2 linked regions of the Danio rerio genome follow. The protein of the gene in region 2 purifies or fractionates together with the protein of the main gene of each other region. This does not show direct contact. Links are inferred from orthologs where the notes say so. Each region holds a gene or a part of one and is shown on either strand. Other genes may lie near its edges.

The links.
Region 1: the proteins of ciao2a (region 2) and narfl purify together in Homo sapiens (affinity purification with mass spectrometry; 4 studies listed by BioGRID and IntAct, with this or other methods). This does not show direct contact. The link is inferred for Danio rerio from reciprocal best matches to the Homo sapiens genes CIAO2A and CIAO3.

What each region holds. Positions count from the first base shown.
Region 1 is NC_133178.1:17,536,639-17,540,946, reverse strand, and holds the start of narfl (cytosolic Fe-S cluster assembly factor narfl), read right to left. Parts: upstream 2,854-4,308; 5' UTR 2,828-2,853; coding exon 2,762-2,827; intron 1,420-2,761; coding exon 1,324-1,419; intron 1,239-1,323; coding exon 1,095-1,238; intron 1,016-1,094; coding exon 883-1,015; intron 1-882.
Region 2 is NC_133200.1:1,559,761-1,564,383, reverse strand, and holds the start of ciao2a (cytosolic iron-sulfur assembly component 2A), read right to left. Parts: upstream 3,037-4,623; 5' UTR 3,013-3,036; coding exon 2,901-3,012; intron 685-2,900; coding exon 520-684; intron 1-519. UniProt on the Homo sapiens protein: Component of the cytosolic iron-sulfur protein assembly (CIA) complex, a multiprotein complex that mediates the incorporation of iron-sulfur cluster into extramitochondrial Fe/S proteins.

The sequences.
Region 1 (4,308 bases), on a different chromosome or scaffold from region 2:
TTGAGCACACACAGAGCTCGCGACAGACTCGCGCACACACACACACAGTTCGTAAGCTTGCGGAGTGAACCAAATGGGCTGTATTTTCTGAGTGGACAGTGACAATGCCCACTGCAACAAACGCAACAAGTTGTTTTCTTGTATACGCCGAAACGCAAACAATCTGGCTAAGTGAAAGTATCCTTCAAAAGTGCATTAACTGCAATGAAAATCAATGAAAAGTTTGGACTGCCTAGCTACTAACGGTAACATTGCATTATTCACATTGTTATGCCAGCAGTCAATCACCTAAATTATTATCATTTTAATAGTTAAATAAACACACAGTTTCAGTCAGTTACAATGAAAACTGAGTCATTTTCCTTCATTTTCCAATCATTCTACATTCTTTTACAGGAAAATATTTATTCATTTGTTTTTACAATTATTGGTTTCATTTTACTTTACATTAAAAACGTAATAATAAAATAAAGTGTTGTTAATTCTGTTCCTTTTGTTTTTTTCATAAAAAAAAAAAAAAAAAAAAAACATTGCAAAAAATACCAATAAGAGAACTGTTAAAGTACCAAACCGGTAAGTGGTATCGATAAAAGTAGTAATACCATTAAAACCTTAATGATACCCATCCCTAGTGCTGATGCAGAACCCGGGCATGCACGTGCATCTTCCTCTGCTTGTAAACTTGTAAACAACCACTTGCGAGCAGTTCATGAGATCGGCCAGATCAGCAAGTAACGATCAAGTTGTGAAATGTGAATATCGGCCAATCAGCCAATCGATCGGACCATCCCTATTGTAAAATTATATTTTTAATTCTGTGGCCAGAAATAAAGTCTCCCATAGGATGATGGCTGTTCATATAAACTACAGACTCAAACTCACCCAAATGTTTCAGGAAGCTGGTGAGCTTACGAGCCACTTCACTGCTGCCAATACCATAGTGTGCAGCAAGAGAAGCTCTGGACTGAGGCGATACAGACACCACCACCACCTTCTGCTCAGTACTGCTAACCTGCTGCTGACAGACACGAGCATGTTTTAGATGAATTATTCTACTGGGACAAAAACTGTAGCTAAATACCTGAAACGAGCACCTTATTATGACGTAGCACGCGGTACAGTTCCTCGTGACTCTGTTGTGTGATAAGGACACTTTCAGCAGATGTGATGCAGCCACTGCAAGCCAGACAGTCATTCAGAGTAATTTTTGCTTTCTCCAACTTTTGTCTTTGGCCATCCTGGGAACCAAGCATTTATTTAATATGCCCATCATCTCTTGTCAAATGCTGGCTCAAAACAAAAGTCACATTAATCAAAACTCACCTGATGGACCTGAAAATAACTGCCATCATCTTCTATCTGGATTTTCGCCACAGATCGACCCTGTTTCTTTTCCACTTTCACAGGTTTCACACATTCCTGTGATTCAGGGAAATTAAGTTACTTTTATTCAGCATAAGGGCATTAAATTGATTATAGGAGTAAGAAAGGGTATTAATAATTGTACAAATTATTGATATTTCAAATACATGTTTTTATTTTGCTGTCTTTTTCATTTGTCGAAGAATAAATAGAAGTGACACTGAAGGCTAAATTAGACTTTTTTTCAGAATTTTCTTCTCAAAATTATATTCAAAAAATTCATTTAAATACAGTATTTATGATCAACTAAATATGGCTTTAATTTGCACAAAACACAGGGTTTCTGCAGGTTTCAGGAGTCATATTTAGGACCTTTTGAAGACCATTATAAAGCAAATTTCAGACTTAAACAGGGCTGAACGCTAATGTTTTTTCCTAATGGCATGGTTAAGCCAATGAAAAAGATCTTAACTTGCCTTATCGAAAAAAATTTTAATTGAGTTATTTCTTAACCACATAGTTTAAAGGCATCATAACAAGCTAAATCTAGTAAATCATAGAAGAAAAAAAAAGATAATTAACTAAATTTAAGCGCAACAGTCTATGGAAAACTAAAAAATGTTATTGTACAGAAGACAGTTACAGTTTTTATTGAGTATCACTATTGATTGGTCGGCCCGATAGACACAGGAAAATTAAGACTTGTTTAAAATTATTTAAGACCTACAAAACAAAATTTCTTAAAGGCCTACAATTTTGTTTTTGAAATGTAAAACATTTAAAGACCCCACGAAAACTGTGAAATCATATCATTTAAGTAACTTAAACTATTAAAGTACTGTACTTACAGTGGCCAAAAATAACTTCACACTTCAGTGATAGTTAAAATGTATGACATTTTATGACATTTTAAAAATCAATAATGGCTTATTCGTTAACTTATTTGCTTTAAAGCTGTTTTCACTGTCTTTTTCAGAAATAAAACACTTAGTTTTATATACTGATACCTACTGCGATGTCATTTAATTATTTTAGTGTGTTTGAGTGCACTTATTAGGGCTACAGAGGGATAAATAGGGGTAAAGTTGGCTTTATGTTCGCGTATTCGGCTCCTCAATACATACATTCTTACAGTCATTGGTTACATTTAAGCTCACTAAGTTAGGTTTTTACTGTCATTTTCTGTATCTGACATTGCAAGACTTGACAAGAACGCTTATATACAAATTAACGTTACCCATATCCACAGTTAACGTTACATCAGTTTATATCATGATCATCTGACCGGTGCTTTTTTAAACCAACAAATACATTCAGCGGAGAACCAGTAAATGGTCTGAATTTATATAAATTTATCCGTTTATAATGTTATTATAGTCTGAAAAAACAACAAATCAACCTGAGAAGGAGTGATAAAATCATCCAGATCCGTGAGCTGAAGCACTCCGCTGAAATGCGACGCCATTGTTTTTAATGCTAGACGTTTTTCTCAGAGGTGGTTGGTAGGGCTGAGTGCACGACGTCTGAATCCTCCAATCATAGACAGCGCTTAAGTGACTCTGCCCAATCAAAACAAAGAGTGAGAGGTAAAGGGTGGGACTTAAAGAAAAAAGTTTTATAAAGGTCAACTGTCAGGTTACGTCGAGGGAAGTCATTCAGTGTCGACAATTTTTCTTTACAAGATAGATAGATTACGGAACATTTCAATATTATATAAATAATAATATCATTTTGACCTAGACAGCGTATTTTTGGCTAATATATTTAGACACATATATTGACTGCTTTTGTCGTTCAGGGTCACATTTGTCATGACACGCTGAATTGCATTGTTTATATGCCCATATATTACACATGTTACAGCCGCGGAGTGTTTGCTTACCTGCCGTAAAGCGTCGATGTGACGCGCACACTTTTACTGTCATCGTTTGCGGGTTAACGTGTTTCTTGTAGACAAGTACAGAAACATGTTTACCACCATGTATTAATTGTGCAAAAGAGCAGTTGTAAAATCGACACGTTAAACTGGTTAAGCTTGTCGCGGTAACTCAAAAACACGTTCGCTTGATGGTCCATCAACACCGTACGGAAGTAAATGTATGTCTGTATGACTATATGCCTTTTAAACTCGTCTAGTAAAGGGACCGAGAATTTTTTTTAACAGAGTAAGTACACTTGTTCGATATTTTCTATAATAGTAACAACAGTGAGGCATTAATATAGCGTCATATGTTTTATTTTTGCAACAAACAATTTAGCTTTGATGCTGAAAAGTTAAAATTGTACGCAAACATTTTATGCACTAAATATTGTTGATCTACTTTTATTATTGATGCATTTTAGACACTCATTTGAATTTGCGAAGTGTTGCATTATTTTTAAATGTATTATAAGTACATAACTTGATCTTTATGCACATTTATGATCTACAAGGGTGATATTTTTCATCGTTTATGTTTTTTTGCTAACCTGACAGTTCATCCAAAACTGATAATTACATAATCATTACTCTCGCTTTACTTGTCAAAAACCTTTATGAGTTTATTTTAATTTTTTTCTATACAAACGAAGATATTTTGAAAAAAAAAACGTTAAATCTATAACCATTGATGTCCATATTTGCTGTTTATACTATGCAAGTCAATTTGGGCTGCACAACATATTGTTTCAGCATCAATATTGCAATGTTTGTGTCCACAAAAGTCACATAGCAGAATATGCAATGTTGAGGTTGGATGATTATAGTTGATCAACACCACAATTCAGAATACATGACATTTTTGGAGTCACTGCAAATAGTAACCAAAACAGAGAGAATCTTTATCCTTTGCATATGTTTTAAAGGCTTTTCAAATGAATTTAAAACAGGCACGGAAATATACAACTTTTTAACTTTCTACTACTGAATAATTAGTTTTATATTGTGCAGTCCTAAAGTCAATGGTT
Region 2 (4,623 bases):
CTTTAGCTCTCAAAAAAATTTTAATGTCAAAATTACAAAATCACAGTGATTTTGTAATTTTGACATTAAAATTTTTTTGAGAGCTAAAGTGGCAGTGTGCCGATTTACTTTGAATCTTTTGCTACTTATGTTTGTTTTTTGATCGTGCACCTGCCTTCAAGATTTTTCTAGATGTGCGCACATTTCTGTTTTTTGTCAGTATTTACGCTTTACCATTGCACACACTTTGTAACATTTTATTTATTAAGTTTGAGAGTCTCTTTAACACTTCTGTTTATTTTATTATAAAGAGATATTTAGTTAAAATATTTTTATTTTTGACTATTTAAACTATTTGCCTTAGTAATGTTGTAAAATTAAAAAAAAGGTTAAAAAAATCATAATTTTCCTAAATGTATTTTTTTTGCAATATCGCCCAGCCCTAACAAGAAGTGTTTCCTTTATTGTGTCTCCTGCTATCTGTGTGGTGCAGTGATGTCCGTTTGAGTGTGTGTGTGTGTTATCTCGTCACATACTCACCTATCAGCGTGGCCAGAGAGCAGTGTGGTACAGTTGGAGAGAACTTAATGACGATCAAATATTCATCGTCTCCGAGCTCCTGAACTTCCACACATTTCTCCGTCACCACGTCCAGCTCCTCCAGAGTGTTGGGTTTCTCCGGGTCACGAATCGTCCGAATCACATCTGTGTAAACAACAACATCAGCATATTAAGAGTTTCACCTTAAACAGAAAAATATCTGAGAGAAAATGACAAATAACAGAGTTTTGCTATCAAAACACACTGTATATTCTATTTAATAATACACTGGTCATTACCGTTTGATACTGATTTGATTACGGTAATGACTCAGTATTATAATAATTAACATTATTTACTGCTAGGTATGCTAATATCTTTCAGTTATGTTGCTTTTCAGTTTTTACCATGTTACATCATAGTTTGAGATTATTTCGTAAACTTTAAGGGAATACTGTGTTTAGTTCAATCATTTTCTTGTCGGCTTTATTAATCCGGGGTCCCCACAGTGGAATGAACCGCCAACTTATCCACAACCCATCTCTGGGAAACATCCACACACACACACAGTCTTTGGACTGTGGGGGAAACCGGAATGCAGGCAGAATATGCAAACTCTACACAGAAACACCGACTGAGTCGAGGCTCGAACCAACAACCCAGCGACCTTCTTGCTGTGAGGTGACAGCACTACCTACTGCGCCATTGGATCGCCACTGTGGTTAATAATTATGGTAATGATTCAGTATTACGGTATGTTATTACGGTAATGATTCAACACTAATACTATGAAAAATTAATAAAATATAAACAGTTTGACTTTTCCTTCAAGTTTAAGGGAATACTGTGGTAAATGATTATGGTAATGATTCATTATTATGGTATATATATATATATGATAATAGCATGGTATTACAAAGTAGCATCATCACTGCTAGTTATGCTAGCATCTTTAAGTTACCTTCCTTTTCAGTTTTTTACCATGTTCCATCATTATTTGGGACTATTTCTTTAATTTTAAGGGAATACTGTTGTTAATGATTCAGCATTACGGTATGTTATTACGGTAATGATTCAATACTAATACTATGGTATATTAATAATATATAAACAGTTGAACTTTATTTCTTAAAGTTTGAGAGAAATATTTTGGTAAATGATTACGGTAATGATTCTGTATTACGGTATGTTATTACAGTAATGATTCGGAATATGGCATGTTATTACGGTAATGTTTCAACACTAATACATTAATAAAATATAAACAGTTGAACTTCATTCCTTCAAGTTTAAGGGAAATATTTTGGTAAATGATTATGGTAATGATTCATTATTATGGTATATATGATAATAGCATGATATTACAAAGTAGCATCATCACTGCTGGTTATGCTAATACCTTTCAGTTACATACTTTTCAGTTTTTACCATGTTATATCATTATTTGGGACTATTTCTTTAATTTTAAGGGAATACTGTGGTAAATGATTATGGTAATGATTCAGCATTACGGTATGTTATTACGGTAATGATTCAATACTAATACTATGGTATATTAATAATATAAAAACAGTTGAACTTTATTTCTTAAAGTTTAAGAGAAATATTTTGGTAAATGATTACGGTAATGATTCTGTAATACGGTATGTTATTACAGTAATGATTCAATACTAATACTATGATACATTAATAAAATATAAACAGTTGAACTTCATTCCTTCAAGTTTAAGGGAAATATTTTGGTAAATGATTATGGTAATGATTCATTATTATGGTATATATGAAAATAGCATGGTATTACAAAGTAGCATCATCACTGCTGGTTATGCTAATACCTTTCAGTTACATACTTTTCAGTTTTTACCATGTTAAATGATAATTTGAGACCATTTTTTAAAGTTTGTGGGAAATACTGTGGTAAATGATTATGGTAATGATTCAGTATTATGGTATGTTATTACGGTAATGATTTAATACCACAATCACAACAACCACAATCAATTTAGCATAGTAAACCAAGTTTTTAATTGTAACTATGTACCATGGTGACAGAAAAATAGAGTACATAATTACGGTAATGACTCAACCACAAAAATACCATGGCATTAACACCGGACACCATTTATGTACCATGGTTATACCCCGTTTTCTGTTTATCAGTATGTTAATATGATCTTTGACGTATCAGATAAAATACATCCAGTATCACATTTCTTATTGACTTAACAAAGTAGTAATATGGCACTACTTAAAGTACCATGAAGATGATTATTCAGTACTATAGTAATATATAAAAATACTATAGTATTTCCGCCTGACAATGTCATCGTGCCATGAAAACACCACAGACTTTTCTCTTGATTGAGGTCATCAGGGCTCACCGTACACCTCCAGCGCTTTCTCCTCCATCTTCTTTCGTCTCTTGTCATTCGTCTCGTTAGAAAGTCCCGTTAAAAACAATGCTTTGCTCAAAAGTCCGGACACAAGCTCCATGATCCGGTCCGGTCCATCATTTCCATCACGGACACTGACATGCGCATGCGCGTCCGCTCTTCCTCTTTCACGCAGACCAGAGTGATCAACAAAGAAATGTCGATGGAAATATAAACTTTTTGGCGTTGTTTTTTGGGATTATATGCCATTTATTTTAAAATATTATATAGTTATTTTGAAATAATAATAAACTATAAAATATGTTAAAAAACCATTTTAATTAATTTGGCGTTAATTATTTTATACCAAGACTATAGAATACACTTTATTAAGGGGATTTTTGTTTATATCAACACATTATCCATAGAAACTAGTCAATATACTTCTACTGTTTTGTATTACACATGCTAAATTAATTAAAAAATAGTATTTATAGTTTGCAACATTTTTAATGTATAAATTCATAAAACACCACATTAATTTTTATTTTAATTACACTATTTTTGCTGATAATATTGTTAATATTTGATTTTTTTTATTAATTCCTTTATTTTGTTTTGTATAGATTTAGATTAGTTTAAATAAACCTGCATTATTATACATAAAATAAACATTGCTCTTATTAAAGACTCAAACAGAGACAAAGCCAAACTTTTATTTACTAATCACGGCAAATAATTTTAGGTAACGTTAGTTGACATAAGCATAGTGAACGCGCATCATAGATATTTACATTCATTTATCCATGAACGCGCATAAGTAGAAGTGTTTATTTCCGGTTTGATTGGTCCTCCTGCTGTAGCTATGATCATGTGGTTGTCATGTGATGATCAGCTGTGGTTTGTTTAGATCGGAAACTCACAGTATCAGTATTTCAGATTAAATCCTGCAGTTTAATCTTCGAGGACTGTTTATTATTTATCTCCATAGTGTGCTGTTTGTTATTGTATAATGCGCGCTCATCGGCGGAAGCTCCTGAGCTGATCTTCCTCTTCTTCTTCCTCCTCGTCTGCTGTCCATCTTCAGGATGCTGGAGGCTCTGAGCAGGAGTGATGCTGGAGCTCAGGCGGTGCTGGAGGTGGATTTGTTGGCGGATGGAGAGCTCTGTGTGGGGCTGAAAGACTGGCGGAGGGTGAAGCTGAGCGCGGGTCCGTCACTGCTGTGCTGCGTGAACGCGCAGGGGGAAACCAGTCTGAGGAACATCAGCGACAGCAGGGGAGCTGAGCATACACTACAGCACACCTGTGTAGAGTGAGTCACACACACACTTAACCTGAGCATACATGACTACAGCACACCTGTGTAGAGTGAGTCAAACACACACACACACACACACACACACACACACTTAACCTGAGCATACACTACTGCACACCTGTGTAGAGTGAGTCACACACACACTTAACCTGAGCATACATGACTACAGCACACCTGTGTAGAGTGAGTCAAACACACACATACACATACACACACACACACACACACACACACACACACTTAACCTGAGCATACACTACTGCACACCTGTGTAGAGTGAGTGAGTCACACACACCTCAAACTACAGCAGACCTGCAGTCTTTCTACACATACACACACTGTACATACTACTTTATACACCAACATACACACTCTGTGCACACAAACACAGTACATACTACACACTTAGTTCAC